2 linked regions of the Macaca fascicularis genome follow. The protein of the gene in region 2 binds, or shares a complex with, the protein of the main gene of each other region. Links are inferred from orthologs where the notes say so. Each region holds a gene or a part of one and is shown on either strand. Other genes may lie near its edges.

Evidence for each region. The genes of interacting proteins can lie anywhere in the genome.
Region 1: the proteins of MEP1A (region 2) and FETUB are in contact, whole or in part, in a cryo-EM structure (PDB 7UAI), measured with the Homo sapiens proteins. The link is inferred for Macaca fascicularis from reciprocal best matches to the Homo sapiens genes MEP1A and FETUB. Residues at the interface, in NP_005579.2 of Homo sapiens: Asp126, Gly127, Cys128, Trp129, Ser130, Glu131, Val132, Gln145, Gly146, Cys147, Tyr149, Ile152, His155, Glu156, His159, Tyr164, His165, Gln167, Ser168, Leu184, Gly186, Tyr187, His189, Asn190, Asp192, Tyr194, Tyr214, Gln215, Phe217, Ser218; in NP_001362516.1 of Homo sapiens: Phe109, Phe110, Lys144, Lys145, Tyr148, Met149, Thr150, Cys151, Pro152, Asp153, Cys154, Pro155, Ser156, Ser157, Ile158, Ser196, Ser197, Gln198, Trp199, Val200, Val201, Gly202, Tyr205, Phe206, Thr242, His245, Trp246, Phe249, Val250, Ser251.

The regions. Positions count from the first base shown.
Region 1 is NC_088376.1:98,579,731-98,590,083, forward strand, and holds the start of FETUB (fetuin-B), read left to right. Parts: upstream 1-4,900; 5' UTR 4,901-5,063; intron 5,064-6,125; exon of another isoform or gene 6,126-6,334; intron 6,335-8,303; exon of another isoform or gene 8,304-8,350; intron 8,351-10,353. UniProt on the Homo sapiens protein: Protease inhibitor required for egg fertilization.
Region 2 is NC_088378.1:124,790,946-124,801,252, reverse strand, and holds the start of MEP1A (meprin A subunit alpha), read left to right. Parts: upstream 1-3,755; 5' UTR 3,756-3,765; coding exon 3,766-3,834; intron 3,835-3,920; coding exon 3,921-3,945; intron 3,946-4,035; coding exon 4,036-4,086; intron 4,087-8,595; coding exon 8,596-8,636; intron 8,637-9,096; coding exon 9,097-9,172; intron 9,173-10,307.

The sequences.
Region 1 (10,353 bases), on a different chromosome or scaffold from region 2:
TCTCTACCTCTTGGTACACTGCCTGGAGGAAGGACTCAACAAGGCTTTACAAAATCTGTTTCCTCCCCTTCTCCATCTTATTTCCTTTAAATACTATGCTCTAACCAGGTAAGATCACCTACTAGATCTTACTTGAACAAACCTGGGATTTCTTGTTCCTCTGTGACCACATATTACTCCCTGTGTGTACTGCCTCTTGCCCCATTTCCCAACACCATAAGTCTAAATGTTACTTCCACATCCACCTCAAATACCCTTTTCTTCAGAAGCCTTCCCCTAAGCCCCAACTAGGAAAACCTCAGCTTTTTCTGAACCTATTTTATGGTACAAAGCTCTTTCTGATCTGTTTTGCGTTGTGTAATATACGTGTGGCAGCTTGTCTGATCCATTTTAATTCTCTCCTCTCCTGCCCCAGCCACCTTCAACACCCCTGCTGATGACCTGTCCATCCAACATCTGCATCTCTTTCTATCTTGCCTTCTCTACCTCCACAGCGTTTCTGCCACCCCCTGGTTCCCTCAGTCACACCCTCATGAATTAGTGGTCCTCTTCCTGGATGGCAGACCTCGCGTCCCCCTCACTCTGCCCTCAGCCACCTTTTGTCCACCTCTGATTCACTCCTGATCAGCTTCACTGCGAGCATCCATCCCTCTGTCCTAGGTATTGTTCAAGGTGTCAGACACTTCCTGGCTTCACTTCCTTGTCTTCTGGCCCCAACTCCACATTGGTCATTTCAAAGACATTCATGTAAGCATCCTCTGCAGACCTTAACCTTCTGTCCTCCAGACCACATGCCTTATCAGGGCCCAACTCCAGCTGGACTTTCTCTCTGTTCCTGTTCCCACCCTGCAGGTCTCACTGAAGGGCTTTCCAGAAGCATGACTCTTGCTGCCCTGACAAAGTTTGCGCTCCATCCTCAGGCGGGATCCCCTCAGATCGCCACCATTATTCTTACGTCTTCATGGCTTAATTTCCCCCTCCCCACAATGACTCACCTACATATTTTCCCCTCTCAAATCCTAATCACATCTCCACATCTCAACCCTCAACAGTTGAATCTCCCAGCTTCCAAAGAAAATAAAAGCTATTAGGTAAGAACTCCCTCTAATATATCTCTGAAGTCACCCACTCTCACCTCCGTCTCTCCGGCTCAGAGGAAGTATCTTTCTCCTCTGTTACGTTGGTTACTCCTCCCACCCTCGCCTTCCCTGACCACTTCACCCTTCCCAGCATCCCTCCCACCTACACCAGCGTCACCCTTTCCTCTGACCACACTCTCAGATGACACCCATGCTAAAAGATCACTATCCTCTGATTCTATGTTCCTCTCAAGCCATTTCCCTATTTCCCCTTTTGTTTTACTACCAAGCCTCCTTTTAAAAAACATTTATTTCTAAAAATTTCTAAATGCTACATATTTACTTAAAAAATGATGGAAAACTCCGAGAAGTTGAAGGAATGAAAATAAATGCCTCGCACAATCCCATGTCTCAAATGCAAACACCATTAACATTTTCCTGCATTGCATTACCTTCCTTCTGCCTCCCACCTGCACCGCTGAACAGGGCTGCTTTAAAAAACACAGCGCTGTGTCACGGCAGTGTAGTTTCAATTGTCTGTCTGCTTTGCAACTTAACATTATAACATAAACATTTTCTGTATCACTAAACATCATGGCGTCATTTGTGATGGCTAATTGGTATCCATCAAATGTAGACAAATTCAAGCTGGTACCACTTTCTGCACCACAGCCAGTAAGTCAAGAGACAAGGCACTGGGGCAAGGAAAACAACTTTATTCTTAGAGCAATATTTATTCTTTCTTTATTCTTCTCAGCAAACTGAGAAGATGGGCAGACTCACGTCTTAAAAAGCCATCTTAAGTTAATATGCATTTCAAGCTCCTTTTATGTTAGGGTAAGGGAGAAAAGAGAGGCAGTTGAGGTAAAGAAATAACCAATGACCACAGGCACCTGGGCGGCAGCAAGGGTCTGAGGAGGTGAAACTTCTTTGTCCTTGACCAGGTCACAATGCTCTTATAAATCTTTAATGCAACATTGTTACTTGTGTGTACACCCTTCTTTTCTCCTTGGGAGTTAGTTTTGGGAGGAGACTATTATCATCCTTGCTTTAAACTTCAGGCTGGGCATGGTGGCTCAGGCCTGTAATCCCAGCACTTTGGGAAGCTGAGGCAGGTGGATCACCTGAGGCCAGGAGTTCGAGACCAGCCTGGCCAACATGGTGAAACCCCCCCGTCTCTACTGAAAACTCAAAAATTAGCTGGGGGTGGTGGCAGGTGCCTGTAATCCCAGTTACTTGGAAGGCTGAGGCAGGAAAATAACTTGAACCCGGGAGGCGGAGGTTGCAGTGAACCGAGATCACACCACTGCACTCCAGCCAGGGCGACAAGAGCAAAATTCAGTTTCAAAAAAAAAAAAAAAAACAGTTAAACTGCAAACTAAATGCCTCCCATAGTTAGGTTGGCCTATGTGCAAAGATAAGCAAAAGTAATTAACCTAAAAGATACCATTTTGGGGGTAGTTGCAGGGAGATTGGGAGAAAAATGGAGTTAGTCATGTTAAGCCCCCTTTTCACTGTTACATAAATGGAAGTTTACTTAACCATTCTCCTGTTGTTGGACATTTAGATGGACACTTTTTAATGGTTGTAAATGGCATATCAATAAATATTATTATGCATAAAAGCTTTCCTATATGTGTGAATACTTTCAAAGGTAGAGTCTCAAAAATAGAACTAATACTCCAAAATAATGTGAATATCTTGCAACTCTTGACATGTATTGTCGAAGTGCTTTACAAACAGATTTTGCAAATCTACACTTCCAAAATCCGAGTATGCCCATCTCACTGAACCTTTGCTATCACTTGGCCTTATCATTTCTCTCTCCCAAAAATACTGACTTATAACTGTCTTAGTTATTAAGAGATAACTTATTATCTCTTCATCACATCTCAATACATTATATTCACACAGTGTAGTAAGATTATTCTGGAAAACATCATTGTTGACCTTCTTATTGTCAAAACCATTGACCCAGTGGTTTGTTTTTCCTTCTTATGCTATTTGGTCTCTCTGCAGCGTTTGACGTTATTGCCTGCCTCCTACTTGGAGCTCTTTCTGCCTCCATCTCCTCCAGTTGCTTCTAAAATGTTGGGGTTCCTGAGATTTTCACCTTTATTTTTCTCACTTTATATGCTCCCATTGGTAATCTTATCCACTCTTGTAAATTCAGTTTATTCTATCTAGATTCTATCCCAAAAAAATATATTTTTTATTTTATTTTTTGAGAGTCTCACTCTGTCGCCCAGGTTGGAGTGCAATGGCGCGATCTCGGCTCACTGCAACCTCCACCTCCTGGGTTCAAATGATTCTCCTGCCTCAGCCTCCCTAGTGGCTGGACTTACAGGCATGCACCACCACGCCCAGCTAGTTTTTTGTATTTTAGTAGAAATGGGGTTTCACCATGTTGCCCAGGCTGGTCTTGAACTCCTGAGCTCAGTCAATCCACCCACCTCAGCCTCCCAAAGTGCTAGGATTACAGGCGTGAGCCACTGCGCCCGGCTTATTTTTTATTTTGAGGCAGAGTCTCACTCTGTCGCCCAGGCTGGAGTGCAGTGGTGTCATCTTAGCTCACTGCAACCTCTGTCTCCTGGGTTCAAGCGATTCTTCTATCTCAGCCTCCCAAGTAACTGGGATTACAGGTGTGCACCAGCACGTCCAGCTAATTTTTGTGGGTTGTTTTTTTTTTTTTTTTTTGTATTTTTATTAGAGATGGGGTTTAGCCATTTTGGCCAGGCTAGTCTTCAACTTCTGATCTCAAATGATCTGCCTGCCTTGGCCTCCGAAAATGCTGGGATTACAGGCGTGAGCCACTGTGCCTGGCCTTCTATTTATTCTTTTAAAGGTCTTTCCTCAACCTTGTATTCTTCTTTTTAATGTTTGCTTTCCTTCCATTTATAAAGAAGCTTTTATAAGCAATGGTCTATACTTGCTTGTCTCCACTTCCTGAACTCCTATTCGTTTTTTTGTTTTTTTGTTTTTTTCCACAGTAATCTGGCTTCTATTGCCACCCCTCCTCTGAAACTACTACCAACAAAGATCACGGGGGAACTTCTGGATCAAATGGATACACGTTTAGCCCTTTATATTCAAGCTCTCCGTGGCATCTGACCCTCTGACCATGCCTTTCGTTTTTGAATGCAGTCCTTCCTGGCCTATGGAGCCTGTCTTTCTCCTCTGCAGCCTTTCAATCTCAGACCCTTTTTCTTTTAGCTCATCTTCCTCTGCTTCCTCCTTAAATATTAGTTTTCTCAGAGCTCCACCTCATTCTCATCTCATTGCCTTACCTGCTCTCCCAGAATGAGCTCACCCACTCCCAAGATTTTAGCCTCCACCTCTGGCTAATGATGATCTTGCTTATCCCCTTTAAGCCTTGAGTCCGTACATCCAACACATATTATGAGACTCCACTTAGAGATCGCTCAGATTCTTCAAATTTAACAGCCTCAAACTCAGGTCCCCATCCCCTCCCCCTTCCAAATCTGCTCTATTCCTGTAATGGTAGCTCAACTCTTTGACTCGGTCAAATAACCTGAAAACTCTGGAGTCATTCTTGATCCCTCACCCTTTCTTGCTGCCATATTTTGTGAGTCACCAGGTCTTGATTTCCTAAATCCTCATCATATCTCAGATCCAGTCCTTCCTCTCTGTTCCCACTGTCACTTCCACCTCTTCAGCAGTGTCTCCTCACAGGCTTTTCTCATTCACAACTGTATCACTCAGGGTTCAACCAGGTTTAGCATAACCAGGGAGGTATTGTAGGGAACTGGATTATGCAATTGTGGGGGCTGGATAAAGAGTCCCTGTAAGGCTGTCTCTGTATCTGATGCTGGAGCCTGAAGTCCACAGGGCAGGTGTTCAGAAAGAGAAGATGGATATGAAGTAGGGGGAATTGACAGCAGATTGGAACCCGCAAGCATGAGCTGAGACCCTACAAGGATGGACCCTCACCCACGTCTGTTTTGGTTGCCTATGGCCTTGCTGGTAAGGGTATCCTGGAGAAGCTGGGGTCCTTTCATTGCTGCTACTTGGAATAATCTTTCTGAGAATCTAGTTCTTAAAAACTGCAGTGATTCCCCAGTACTTTTAGTATGCTATTCTAATCACTACAGCACCGAAGACTCTCAGGCTTTTGCCTGACTACTACTCCGGCCTTATATCTTGTCATTACCTCACCATGCCTCTTCTCACCTCTTCCCTTCCACTTTCTAGTTTTTTCTCTCTCTCTCTCTCACACACACATACACACACACACACACACACACACACACACACACACACAAGCACACACATATAATCTCAATTACAGTAGAAAAAAATTTACCCATAATATTTGGGGCCTGGTTTACTTAAAATTAATGAGAAAAGAGCACTTGAGCAATTTTGTTGTTACCTCCTAAAGCACATAGACAGCAAGAATTGTCACAAATTTTACACTACAAGCCAGATATCTCAAATGTCACATGAGATTTCATTTCAAAGAGTGTTACCCTGTTCTCATCAGAGAGGCTGTCCTCCCTGTCATCACTGATAGGTCCTTGGCAGCCCTGTGATATCTGTTATCTCACACTCAAGCAAATGATTCTTCAATTGTTACAATGCAGAGGATTGAAAAATAGGCACTTATTTATTTATTTATTATCTTTTTGAGACAAGGTATCACTCTGTCACCAGGCTGGAGTGCAGTGGCACAATCATGGCCCACTTCAGCCTTGACATCCTGGGCTCAAGTGATACTTCTGCCTAAACCTCCTGAGTAGCTAGGTCTACAGGTGCATGCCATCATGCCTGGCCAATTTTTAATTTTTTTTTTTAAGAGATGAGGTCTTGCTATTTTGCCCAGGTTGAACTCAAACTCCTGGGTTCGAACAATCCTCCCAACTCAGCACCACAAAGTGCTGGGAATACAAGCATGAGCCACTGTGCCCAGCTAGCTTTTTAAATTTTTATCCCCAACATCTAGCACAGTGCCTATCACAGAGCAGTTACTTCACTCACTGGAGAAGAACTTACGACATTACTTGAATGAAGGAACTTTTTTCTTACCCCCTAAACTCCTGATCCACCGGTCCATGGAGAAGCCCAGAAAGTCAAGCTTCACAGCCTCTCTCTGCACTTTTTTTTTTTTTTTTAAACAGACACTCACTCTGTCGCCCAGGCTGGAGGGCAGTGGCACCATCTCGGCTCCCTGCAATCTCTGCCTCCTGGGTTCAAGTGATTCTCCTGCCTTAGCCTACTGAGTAGCTGGGACTACAGGCATGCGCCACCACACACGGCTAATTTTTGTATTTTTAGTAGGGACGTAGTTTCACCATATTGGCCAGACTGGTCTCAAACTCCGCCCACCTCAGTCTCCCAAAGTGCTGGGATTACAGGCGTGAGCCACCTCTCCTGGCCTTTCTACCCTTTCAAGATAAGTTTTTGTTTACTGTGCTTGGAACATTCAAATGAAGATCATTTCCTAATGCTTTATCCACTGCCGGTGTGAATGCTATTGTTATAGTATTTCTGGAGAGCAATATGGCAAATTATTACAATTATTAATTAATTTTTTTTTTGAGACACAGTCTTGCTCCATCACCCAGGCTGGAGTGCAGTGGCGCAATGATAGCTCACTAAGTGCTCAAACTCCTGTTCTCAAGTGATCCTACCGCCGCAGCCTCTGAGTAGCTGGGACCAGAGATACATGCCTTCAAGCCCAGCTCATTTTTAAAACGTTATTTATAGAAATGAGGTCTTGCTGTGGTGCCCAGGCTGGTCTTAAACTCCTGGCCTTAAGTGATCCACCCACTTTGGGCTCCCAAAGCACTAGCATGAACCATTGTGCCAGGCCTAAGATGGCAAATTATATCAGAAGTTTTAACAGTAAGAATTGCCCTTGACCCAGTAATTCAATTTTTAGGCATTTGTACTAAGCAAATAATTAGGGATATGAACAAAGATCTACCCACAAGAATGTTAATTGCAACATTGTTTGTAATAGCAGAGAATTGGAAACAATCGACCTGTCTATCAAAGACAGTTGGCTTGAAGAACTGACTCACCTGTCAACAGACTATTGTGTAATAATTAAAAATTAAATTGCAGAAGTGGATTATTTCATATGTCAAGATGCTCAGGATCTATTGTTGTATTTTATTTATTTATTTATTTTTTTGAGACGGAGTCTCACTCTGCAGCCCAGGCTGGAGTGCAGTGGCGCTATTCTTAGCTCACTGCAAACTCCGCCTCCTGGGTTCACGCCATTCTCCTGCCTCAGCCTCCCAAGTAGCTGGAACTACAGGCGCCCACCACCACACCTGGCTAATTTTTTTGTAATTTTAATATAGACGGAGTTTCACCATATTAGCCAGGATGGTCTCGATCTCCTGACCTTGTGATCTGCCCACCTCAGCCTCCCAAAGTGCTGGGATTACAGGCGTGAGCCACCGCGCGTGGCTATTGTTGGATTTTAAAAGCAAGTTACCATATAGTAAGTGTACTAATACAGTATTTTTGTATAAAAATGCATGTGATATATGCATAGAGGAAAGTCTGGAAGGACATCCGTCAGCTATTAACAGTGTGGTCAAATATTTTTGTCTTTTTATTTGCTTTTTATTTTTCTATAAGGTGCATATCACTTTGGTAATATTCTTCTAATGAGAAAAAAAGTTTAAATAACTTGTAGTGAATTCTCTAAGCCCTCCACCCAGCTCCATTCATAGTCATAAATACTTTTGGAGCAAAAGAAAGAAGAAAACAATGACCAATTACTAAGATTTACTGTTGGCTGGGCGTATATCACATACATGATCTCATTTAGTCTCGTAAATATGCATGTTGTCGCCATTTTTACTGATGAGAAAACTGAGTGTCAGATAAAATAAATGGTAGCTGTGCCTGAAGTCACACAGCTAGTAACAGATCTCATCTAGCAGGTCTACCCAACTACAAGCTCCAGCCCTTTCCACCACAGCACACAGCGGAGGGCTCTCCTGAGAGCACCTACCTTTGAGACCATGGTCAGCACTGAGAAAGGTGAAAATAAATCAGTTCCCAGGGTCATTGTCCTCTGATGTAAGCCCACCAGAGGCCAGGGACCTTTGCATTAGCAGAAGCTAGGTCAAAGCTGCGGGGGTGTATATTGGCTTGTAGTTAATGGATAACAATATATTTGTCTGAGTATTGACCCATGATGAACAAGAATAACCAATATCATGCACTCACTGTAAACACCTGGCCAGAGAGTCTTGGGCTCAACTCCTGGCTGGATGTGTGGTCTTAGGCAGGTAATTCATTTTCTCCAGATTTTGGTTACATCATTTCAAGAAAGTAGGATATGGTCTACTGACTCTCTAAGGACCCTTCAACCTCTAACACTTTATGATTCTTTGATGAGTTGCAGATATACACTTTTCTCTTTATCCCTAAATATCTCAGGGTCTAACTTTCTCTTACATAATCACTGCATAGTTATCAAACTCACAGAATTTAACATGTATACATTATTACATAATTTCCATTGCATTTACAAAATCTGCCAACTGTCCCAATGGTGTTCTTTAGAGGAATTTTTCCTTCTTATCTCAAGATCCAATCCAGGATCAAACTGATCGCATGTTGCATTTAGTTACGTAGTCTCTTTAGTCTCCTTTAATCTAGAACATTTCTTGAGGCTTTCTCTCTCATGAATTGACATTTTGGAAGAGTACAAGCTAGTTGTCTTGCAGAATGCCCTTCGACTGGGTCTGTCTCATCTTTCCTCATGATGAGTGTAGGTTACCTGTCCCCTCTGGAATACCATAAAAGTGATGTTGTGTCCTTCTCAGTGCATCGCATCAGGAAACACATGGTATCTGTCTGGCTTGTTACTGGTGATGTTGATTTTGATTATTTGGTTAAAGTGATGTCTTCCAGGTTCCTTTGGTATATAATTATAATTTCTCCCTTTACAGTTATTAAGTAATCTGTGGGGAGGTACTCAGAGACTATGTAGATAACCTCTCCCATTTCAAATTTTTACTCCGTAGTTTTAACATACATTGATGATTCTTGCCTGAATTTGTTATTACAATGATGATTGCAAAATAATGGTGATTTTCTAACTGTAATCTCTTCTATATTTTGCAATTGGCATTTTATCATAAGCAAACAGTTTATCTTTTTTTTTTTTTTTTTGAGATGGAGTCTTGCTCTGTTGCCCAGGCTGGAGTGCAGTGGCATGATCTTGACTCACTGCAACCTCTGCCTCCTGGGTTTAAGCAATTCTCCTGCCTCAGCCTCCCAAGTAGCTGGGATTACAGGCGCCCACGGCCAGGTCCGGCTAATTATTTGTATTTTTAGTAGAGACAGAGTTTCACCATGTTAGCCAGGATGGTCTCAATCTCTTGACCTTGTGATCCGCCTGCCTCGGCCTCCCAAAGTGCTGGGATTACAGGCGTGAGCCACCGCGCCCGGGCCGTTTTCCTTCTTTCTTATTCTGTTGGTATCGGTATGGACCCATAGTTTGCTATTTTGTTCAGTGGATTGTAATTCACTACTATCATTATTTGTTATGATGCTCCGATTGTCCTAGATTTCACAATGGATTCTCTTCAAGTGGTTTCTTTTTACATGGACTTATCATTCTTTGAGTCCTTCCTCACCTTCTGCACAGGATCAACTTATACTCTCCCTTTTCCTGGAATCAGTCATTTCTTCAAGGAGATTTGGTTGCTTTTCATGGGGAATCAGATTTAGAAACCAAGTTCTGATAGTAAGTGGGCTTATTGGTACTGGAATATTCTCGCTTCTAGGCCTTCTCAGGGGACAAAGTTGGAAAGAACAATAATTTCATATGGGTTCATGTAAAATTATGGTTTCATTCTGCTACCTCTAGCACCAATCCAAGATTCCAGAGTTTCTTGTCTTCTCTCATTGTCACTCTCTCTCACAGTGAGAATCCTGGTTTTCAAACAACAATATTAATTTGCTCAAGATTATGATACACATAAATAGTTTTAGGAATTGCTACACCCATTCCACTGTGGAAAAACAAACCTACTAAGTAGATTCCAAGACTTGTTTCCATTTCTTTTTGTTATTGTTGTTGTTCAGACTGATGATATATACAATTGTCCCTTGGTATCTGTGGGGGATTGGTTCCAGGACCCCAAAGGATAACAAAATCCGGGAATGCTCAAGTCCCTTATATAATATGGCATAGTATTTGCATATAACTTATGACATCCTTCCATACACTTTAAATCATCTCTAGATTACTTGTAATATCCAATACAACGTGAATGCTATA
Region 2 (10,307 bases):
CTTTGTTTTTGTGAATGAAGTTTTATGGGAACACAGCCATATTCACACCTTTACGTTATTGTCCACAGCTACTTTGTGCTACATACAACAGGAGAGTTACATAGCTACAACAGGGCTCATACGGCCTACAATGCTTGACATATATTCTTTTTGCCCTTTGCAGACAAATTTGCCAACTCTTGCTCTATACACCTTTGGGCCCCTGTTAATATGTTGATTGCCCTGGGAAGAACAACAAGGACTGTTGTGTTTCAGGTTAGCAGACAGCTGGTTGAAGGCAGAACTCTGCGAGTGAAGCAGAAGGAATTGGCATCCTGCAATAGAGTAGAAAGAGGGCAGAGAACATCCTTGAGAAAGGGTTGGGGTGAGAGGACTTTGCAAGTCTCTTAGCCCAACTCCTGACCTGAACTTTTATGAAGCTGGAGAGTGTGTGGAAATAGCTGGGGGAGGGTTTTTCCATTTTCTACCTGTTAATGACTTTCTTCCTCCAAGCTTCAGACCACTTTCTCAACTGGTTAGTTTATAAAATGCCCTGCCTGAGATCAAAGCAAGTCACCCCATCCAATACCTTCAGAGAAAATTCTATTTACTGTTTTTCAGTTAAAATGATAACTTATTACCTACTATGTTTCCAAACACTGGGGCAGATACAGGAAATAAAGCATGGACCTTGACCTCAGAGTGCATAATCTTCTTTAAACTGAAAAGCCATAAACCCTTCAAATGAAGGACTTAAGGCCCCAGCCTTACTCATCTGATACCCTGACACAATGAAGAAGTGACTAGGATTGCAAATAGCTGGTAACTAATTAACACCTGCCATTAAGATTGTGACCATAAAATAATCGGGGGCAGGTTGTGTCTGCTGAAGACCTATGTTCTCACCACTGGAGATTCCACTGAGCAAGGAGTGAACTGAGCTGTTTTTATTACCCATGTTTTGCTAGGAGGCAGTTGCTAACTAGTAGGTAGAAAGAGCAGTTTATTGAGTGCTTTCTATGTTTCTAGTAGCTGTGGTTTACATATGTTATCTCATTGAACTTTTACATTGGCACCATGAAGTAGGCACCACTATCCATTCTACACATAGAAAGTAGATGCTAAAATTGCCATAGCTAGTCAATGGTAGAGGTGGAATTCCTGCCTATCTAATCCCAAAGCCATTGTTGTAGTATATCATTCAGATAAGTTTAAGAAGGCAGGGAAAGATAAAAACACATCTGGCTGGAAGCAAGAGAAGGTGGAGAGAATTAAGCAGCTTCACTATTGCCTGTTTGAAATCCTAATACCTGAGATTTAGTAGAGAGGTGTACCAAAGCAACAGCACTGCCTGTTTCTTTAGAAAATAACAAACTCTTACTTCCTGGCTTCCAAGATTAACAAATATTCAATTTTACCATAATTGCTTCAGAATTTGAGAAAAATTAAACAACACATTTAAGAAATAAAAGTCCCATGTTTTCCACCCTGATACTTAAAGCCAATTATTCTTATGATGTTGCCCAATTTTAAAATTTGATTATTGCCCAATTTTTAAATGGTATGGATTGTAGTTGCTCACTTAAGTCATTGCAGCTGTTGAGCAAATTTGGTTTTTTGTTTTGTTTTGTTTTGTTTCATTTAAAAAGGTAATATTAGTGGCTTGTAGTGGTTAGAGACAGTGGAAGATGGCCTTTTATCAGCTCACCATCAGTGGCTTAGGTAAAACAAAAATCAGCCATAGACCTCTTCTGCCCATCAGAAGCAGGCCCCCAGTTGACATGCCTCCTATTTTACAGCTCAAGAAGCTCTACTGTTAACCTTCTAAAAGTCTTTTGTGACAGGAAATGCTTTTTTGATAGCAGGACTAGCCCACCTGCCCAGTAGTAAGTCTGAGGTAGAGAGATGCAGGCTCTAGACCTTGAAGATTGCTCTAATACCAAAGATTCTCATACCTGGTGCAGGCAAGAATAGGTGGGTGTGTGCATATATTTAGTATTGTGCTGGGGCAGATGGAGCCCACTGTGTACATCTCTTCCCAACGCTGCATTCAGTGACATGATGTTGGTAGCTTGAAATTGACCATGGAAATCAACAAACACTACAAATAAAGGCTTGGTTTTGTTTGTTTGCTTGTTTGTTTTTACTTTTTTTAAAAGAGCCAATTGCTAATTTACCTGTGCATGACTGAATATATTCCATAATTTATCTTTTCTTTCAGTATAAACACATTTTCCCCATTCTTTACTATAACACAAAAAACCTTCAGTGAATATATTCTGTGGAATTTTGTGCACATATGTGTGAGTTCCTTTAGCATATAGACCTAGGAGTGGTGTTTCTATCCTATGAACTGTGCACATTTCAACTTCATTAGATAGCATCAAATTGATGTCCTACTAGATTTCCTATTTTCTTACCTTCTTGTTGACACTTGATATTGTCAGTCTTCTTAATTTATGCCAATCTTAGCTTGAGGTGAGTATTTTACTGCTATTTGAATTTATATATTTTCTGAATACTTATTAGGCTAAAAACCTTTTTACATGTATATCGGCCATCTGGGTTTTTTGTGAATTAGCTACTCATATTGTTTGTTCATTATTTCCTTAGATAATCTCTTTTTCTTGTTATTGATTTGTAGAAATGCTTTACATATCCTGAATACTTATTCAATTATATGCACTATACATATCATCTCTCATCTGTGGCTTATCTTTTAATCATGTTATGTTTTTATCATGAAGAAGTTTAAATTTTGATATAGTCAAATGTATTATTCTTTTCCCCTATAATTTCTATGTTTTTTTCATGTTCAAGCAATCTTTCTTGAACTCAAGGTTAAAAATATGTTCCTATATTTTCTTTTTCAAAGTTTATATTTTCATATTTACATTTTTAATCTATCTAGAATTTGTTTTTGTGAATGGTGTCAGATGAACATTTAATGTTTTTCCTCATATGGAAATGCAATTATTCCAATATTATTATGAAAGAGACCAGGGTTTCCCTCTTGACTGTTTGGTTCCTCTCATACACAAAAGCCCCACATGTGTTTGCATCTATTTGGATATTACCTATTCCAGGCTATAGATTCATTGTCTTTATTTTTGGAACTATTACACTCTAATTACTGTAATTTTACAAAAGTTCTTGATATTCTTTTAGGGCGATTCTTTTCTCTTTATTCATCCTTTTCAGAATTTTCTTATATATTCCTCAAGGTTTACTCTTTCATGTGAACTGAACCATTTGTCAGCTTGACAAATTCCACTGAAAACCCTGTTAGATTTTTTACTAGAATGAAAATGAATTTATAGATTAATATTGAAATAATCTATTAATATTTCATATATATGTATATATAGAGAGAGAGTCAGGATTTTTTATGTCCTTCAATAATTGCTTTATAACATTTCCATAAAATTTGAATTTATATTTTATTTGAATTAAATACTTAATAATAAATTTTTATTTTTGTTTTTATTGTTAAGAGGATCTTCTGTTATATTATATGAATCACTATTGCTGCCCTATAGGAATGTTATTACTTCTTATATGCTCATTTCAGTATTAGTTTTTCAAACTTTTCCCCAGTCTCTGAAGCTTAAGCATTTAAGGTAAACTTAGTGTCTGTCCTCGAAAGAGTCAATGCTGTTATCTTTGACTACCTTTTTTAGCACTACGGTACATATGGAAGGGTCAAAGTTTCTAATACAACCGTCAGGGTAAAGTCTAAAAGGTATTTATGACAAGGTGTCTGCTAAAATCAGCTCACTCGCAGCAATGGCTTGGACTAGATCCACATGCATTCTCTCCTTTACCTTGTTTTTTGCCCACATAGCAGCTGTATCGGTAAGTAGAGTCCTGCTTTTTGGATATTTAGAAATATTAATTCTAGTATACGTTATCCATTTTCTGTATATTTATTTTTTTTTCAGATTAAGTATCTTCCTAAAGAAAATGGTAAGAATTAGTTCAAATGCACAGAGAGTGTTTTTGAACTTTTTTCGTTCAGCAAGGCTAATAATATTTTTTTTCCCTCACTTTTAACAGTACATGATGCAGACTTTGGTGAACAGAAGGATATTTCAGAAATCAATTTAGGTGAGGTCAATTTTTGCATACTAAAGTATTTAAATTACTTAAAACCCAGTGATGGGATTACTGAAAAGCACTTTCCTTCATAATACTGTATTGTGATTCTTTGGGGGAGAAATATTTATTGATGCTTTGTGAGAAATTGCATTTTCTGAAAGATAAAAATGTGGAAAGAGAAGACAATTAGACCAGACATTCTAGGAGAGCTAGGGAGTCCTCAATGGATCTAGATACATAACACGTTTCTCTTTATAAAAAATTTATTTTTGCAATTTGTATTTGGAAGAAAAGGAAAGCAAATAGATAATTATTCTGATAGTTAAAGAAAAATATAAGAATAAGCCTCTGGTTATATTTAGTGGGGAAACAAAACCCAACCCCTCCACTGGCCATGATATTTTTATTTGTCCAGTCTTGTTGTGGAGTAAGTGCTGTTTTCATTTTTTGGGGGGAGGAGCAAGTGGCTTCTCATGGTTAGAGTGACCTGCTCAGGATTATAGGTAGCAGTGACGGGGCTCACTTCCAGATCTTGCAGCCTGTACCTTAATAGCTCAGTGCTATCTGAAGACTACAAAATGAAAATACCTATACCTATGGGTCAATTTTTCTGGCGTTCTCTCACTCACAGAGAAGCCAGTTAGTTGATATTTAATTGGAATAGCTGGAGAATGGCTGCATAGGCAGAGCAGAAATAGTTTAGGAAGGTAAATGGGTGAATGCATGAATGAGTCCCAAGACTTCAGAGCCAGGCACTAAAATATCTCTTTTTAGAGTCAGACACTGTGTAAACAGTTCAGAGAATCTGATGTTATTTTACAACTGGGCTGGGATTTGAATTTTTAGAGTTTTTCTAATCTCATCCTTATCTATCTAATAAAAATTAATTCTTTACCTCTTTGCCATTTTGTACTCTTCAGGCCTACCACCACCTCTGAACTTTGACCCCAGTGAAGAAATCTCATTACCATGTAATCTTTTTTTTAGGCCATTTCAACCAAACCACCAGGATTGATTGGGTTAGCCATATGGCCAGATTCTAACCCTGTAAATTGATGGTGAAAATCATATAGAGAAAATTGCCACCTTTCACCATCTTCTTTTTGCCTCACAAGGCTGACTTAACATTTCTTATCCTCCACCCCAAGACCTGCTCCTCTCAGTCCTTTTCATTTCAGTAAATGTAACTCACTCCTTCTAGATTTTAGGCTCAGAATCTTAGAGTTGCCCCTAACTCTTGTCTTTCTGTCATACCTTATGCAAAATCTGTCAGCAGATGCTATTAGATCTACTTGATCCTCCCTCCCTTCCTTCCTTCCTTCCTTCCTTCCTTCCTTCCTTCCTTCCTTCCTTCCTTCCTTCCTTCCTTCCTTCCTTCCTTCTCTTCTCTTCTCTTCTCTTCTCTTCTCTTCTTTCTTTCTTTTTTCCCAAGATATGGAGTCTTGCTCTGTTACCTAGGCTGGAGTGCAGTGGCACAATCTCAGCACACTGCAACCTCCACCTCCCGGGTTCAAGTGATTCTCCCGCCTCAGCCTCCCAAGCAGCTGGAATTACAGGTGTCCACCACCATGCAAGGCTAATTGTTGTATTTTTGGTAGAGACAGGGTTTCTATGTTGGTCAGGCTGGTCTTGAACTCATGACCTTGTGATCTGCCCACCTCATCCTCCCAAAGTGCTGGAATTACAGGCATGAGCCACCGTGCCCGGCCTAGATCTACTTTCAAATCATACCACAGTTGAGACTTTTCAGCACTTTTACTGTCCCCACCTTGGTCAGCCACCTCATATCCGAACTGGTCCTTATAACTGTGCTTCCTTTCTGCCTTTGGTCCCTACAGACTATTCTGCACAACATAGAACTCTTCCTTTATTATCCTTCAGATCATGTCATTTCTCTGCTCCAACCTTCTAATGACTTCTCCTCCAACACAAAGTAAAGGCCTTAGAGCCTTGATTCCCAAAGTGTGTTCCACAGGCCAAAATGACTTGTGTCACTCAAGAGCTTTCTCTTGGAAAGGCCGCATTTGAGGATCCACCCCAGACCTACCGAATTAGCATCTCCAATTTGACAGACCCAAGCGGTTTCTATGCACATTAGAGTGTGAGTCGATCTGCTGAAACAGGATTTGTGACTACTCTTCCTCTTCCCACTTGAGCTCTCCAGCCACCCTGACTGCACAGCTACTCCTCTAAGGAAGTGATTTTCAATGTGTTGTCCCTCAGCCAGCAGCATCAGTAAACTTCTCAGGAATGAACATCCTTAGGCCTCGCCCCAGACTTAATGAACCAGAAATCCAAGGGTGGGGGCTCATCAGCCTGTGTTGACCAAGCCTTCCAGGGGACTCTGATGCTCAAGTTTAGGACCACTGACCTAAGACATCAAGGCTTTCCTGCCACAGGACCTTTCTATCTGGTGTTGCCTTTACCTCCACCACATTTCCTTCATTCCCTTACTCTATCATATTTCTGCTAAAATGCCACTTCCTCTGGGGGGCCCTCCCTGACCACTCTTTAATAAAATAGCTAACCTATCTCACCTCAGCACTCTTTCCCACCTTACCTTTTGTTTGTTTCTTTTTTATTGTACTTTCCACCATTTGTCATACTTTACAGTTATTTGTTTATTTGTATGTCTCCCTCTTCCCCCAATCAAGAGTGTCATCTCCTTAAGGACTTTGTTTTATTCTCTGCTATGTCCCAGCATCTAGAAAAATGCTTCAGACACATTAGGCATTTAATAAGTGCGCACCACATGAACAAATTGGGTAATGAATAGATTGAGGCTTGCTTTCACTGGATGTGCACTTCTTTGGGAAGTTCTCCCTGCCCCCCATGACCCCATCCATTCTGTCTGACCACTGGGGCCAAAGTCTGAGTGGGCTCGTTCACTTCACTTTGGAAGAGCTCCCTCAATTCCATTATAATCCAGGCCAGGTGTCAGGAAATACAGATTTTTGCTCAGGACAAACAAATAGTAGAACTATTCTCAATGAAAGAATAGATGGACCAGAACAAAGTCCCTTTATTTAAAAGATTATTCAAATCTGGGTCCTACTGACAGTGGTACGGTGATGTCATTACTGTTTGTGGTTGTTTAATTGCACTGCTAGCATAGGAATAGGTCAGGGCTAAGGAGGTTAAGCAATCTAGCAAATGTGTGCATGAGGAAGGGAATGATGCAGGGATAGCCCTAGTTAGTCACTGGCAAGTGAAATCATGATGCCTGCTAATACGTAACACCTCCTTGGTGTCCTATGCCTAAATGGAGCTGGTTCCTGAATGAACCATGGGCTTTGCCAAATGGGGCCTCTGTTGGCTCATGAGACTGTGGTAATTAATCTCTGCTTTGGTTTCCCGGCCTGTAAATCAGGGCTGTCCTCAGAATGAAGTACAATCCAGTGATTCTGTCTGAAGTCGTTGCATTTTACAGAAAATGTTGCTTGTCACATGAGAGTTATGATAAGTGATGCTCTTTTAATGCTTGAGAAATTTTCCCACAAAGATCTTCCCTTTTAAGAATCTTGCTTACTGAAACAGGATGAGGCCAGGATTAAGCAATACCAGCAGTGGGAGAATGTATTCTGCTAAGCACCTGAGAACAGATGTTTGGAGGTATGGTTTTGAATGGATCTGTCCACAATCCTCTGGTCTTCCTTATGACGTGGGCAGCACCTTGAGCTTGGTTTTGGAGGGTATCATCGTGTTTTCATGGGGAAGAGCAGAATACATTCATCTACACTGGGACAAGAGGCAGAATGGTACGGGGGCAGAAAGAGCCCTGAATGGGAAGGCCGGAGTTTTGATGCTCTCTTGGCCCCTGGATTACGTAGTACATCACTTCATGTCGCTGGACTCTATTTTTTTCTCCATGTCTCTCAATATTTTTCTTTTCTTTTTTGGGATGGAGTCTGGCTCTGTCATCCAGGCTGGAGTGCAGTGGCGCGATCATGGCTCACTGCAACCTCCACCTCCTAGGTTTGAGCAATTCTCCTGCCTTAGCGTCCTCAGTAGCTGGGACTACAGGTGTGCACCACCAAGCTCAGCTAATTTTTGTACTTTTAGTAGAGAAGGGGTTTCACCACATTGGCCAGGCTGGTCTCAAACTCCGGACTTCGGGTGATCCGCCCACCTTGGCCTCCCAAAGTGCTGGGATTACAGGCGTGAGCCACCACCCCCAGCCATTCTCTCAATATTTTTCATCCTCCTTATCAGTGCTGCCTCAAATCCCTTTTTTATAGTCAGTGATCAATAAAATCCCTTCTAACTTATCTCTTACTTTTAAGATTCTTAGACAAGATTTATTGTTTCAAAATTGAAAACAGAGGCTATGACAATATGTGATACTCATTGGCCATTCACATTTGCTCAACTGGAATTTTTGCATTGTTTCAAAAAGTTTTGCCACGTAAAGACTAATATTCAAAGATTTATAATGGCAAAGATTAATTTTATTATGGAAGATGCCTTTTAATAATGTTCACTCAAATATTCTTTTTTTAAAAAAAATTCCATTTCCAGCTGCAGGCTTGGACCTCTTTCAAGGGGACATCCTCTTGCAGGTGAGTACCTGTCAAAGATGCAGTAAGTTCCTCAGGACAGACAGTACCATTGGGTGTCAGTCTCTGCTCTGTCGCCAGCCCTGGGATGGGCACTGTGAAGGAGATAACAGAAATCTCATCTATAATCTGTTCCAGTGAGGAGTTCCACTATAGCCGGTAAGGACGAAAACAGAGGGAAAATAAGTAAACAGCACAAAAGAGTCTAAAATAATTAGATGGCTTATCTATCCAATTTTCCTGGGATTGCAGGCCCCCTTTATTTTGTTCTTAATAATTTCTCTGATTTTTCCAAATTATCTCTCAAGGGACTTCTATTGCTTTCATAATCGGAAGAGAAATTGCCACTAAACCGTTTGAATTGTGTGATAGACTGTTTGCTGTGTGAGAGTTTATTGAAGGAGGAGGTCAAGGTGACCTTGAGGACTAGGCTTCCCACTCACCTTTACCTTTGTTTTCACAGAACTCCAGAAATGGCCTGAGAGACCCAAACACCAGGTGGAAGTTCCCCATTCCTTACATCTTGGCTGATAATTTGGGTAATATTAATTGCTCTTAATTAGGAGTTTTCAGTTTAACTCTCTCTCCCCTCTCAGCCTGATCATGGGCTTCATATTGGGAGTAACCACCAGGGTCTAAGAGGGTTTCCAAGTCCTGGTGAATCTTTATCTCATGGGGAGAAAGGCATGACATTACATCAAAACCAGTGCTGCTTAACCAGTCTGAGATACACAGTATCCAAGAATAACTTTTAAAATGCAACACACATTAAACTATTAGTATAACCAGGAGCAACGTAAAAGAGCAAAAACCCAATGAAATATAGTTTGCATCAGAGCAAGGCAAAGTTTGCACTTTGTTTAGGTGAATCTAAATGTAGTGTGAGGATCCTATTTTCAGCATATGGATTTCTTCTCTTTTTGTTACAAGAGAAACATGCCACACTTTGAGAAATAGAAAAGTGCATGTTTCACATGTTCACAATCCTTTTTTCTTGGTGTTATTAATGTCTACTCTTTTCTCTCTTGAGAAAAAGATCTGAATATGTTACATTTTACTCATTGTTAGAAATAATGACTAGGAGAATCACTTCTCTGCCTTTCAGCTAAGATTGTGTATAGAACTAACAGCCGGTAGAAATAAATATTAGAAGCCCCATGTAGGCACCCTCAAGCAGTTGACTGACAGCTGAGCAGCCATGATGACTCAATGCCTACAAGGCCCCACCTGCTTAGACAGATGGGCAAGATTAGAATGAAGAGGGAAAGCCAGGACAAGGTTGCTTCATCTTGTTGGGCTGCTAGGCTGCTTATAGTCTCAGGAGATGTAGATTATGTTTCAGTATTTTCCATCCTCTTTATCAGCGCTGCCTCGAATCCCTTTTTATGGAGAACAGCTAGATATAAACAAATGTTGTTGTTCTCACTAACACTTGGAAAATTGAGTTATTTTCTCCAGTGTTTGCCTTGCAAATTCATGGAACACCAATAGTTAATGGAACATGATTTAAGAAACACCAACTTTAAAAGGGGTTCTTTCCCATTACAGGTTCTTTTATCCTGGTTGTCACATCTCCACCACCCTATTATGTGCCAGGCACTGTGCCTTCATCTAATATTTTATGTAACCTTCACCATTGCCTCTGTGAGGTGTAAGGCAGTGCTTCTCAGACTG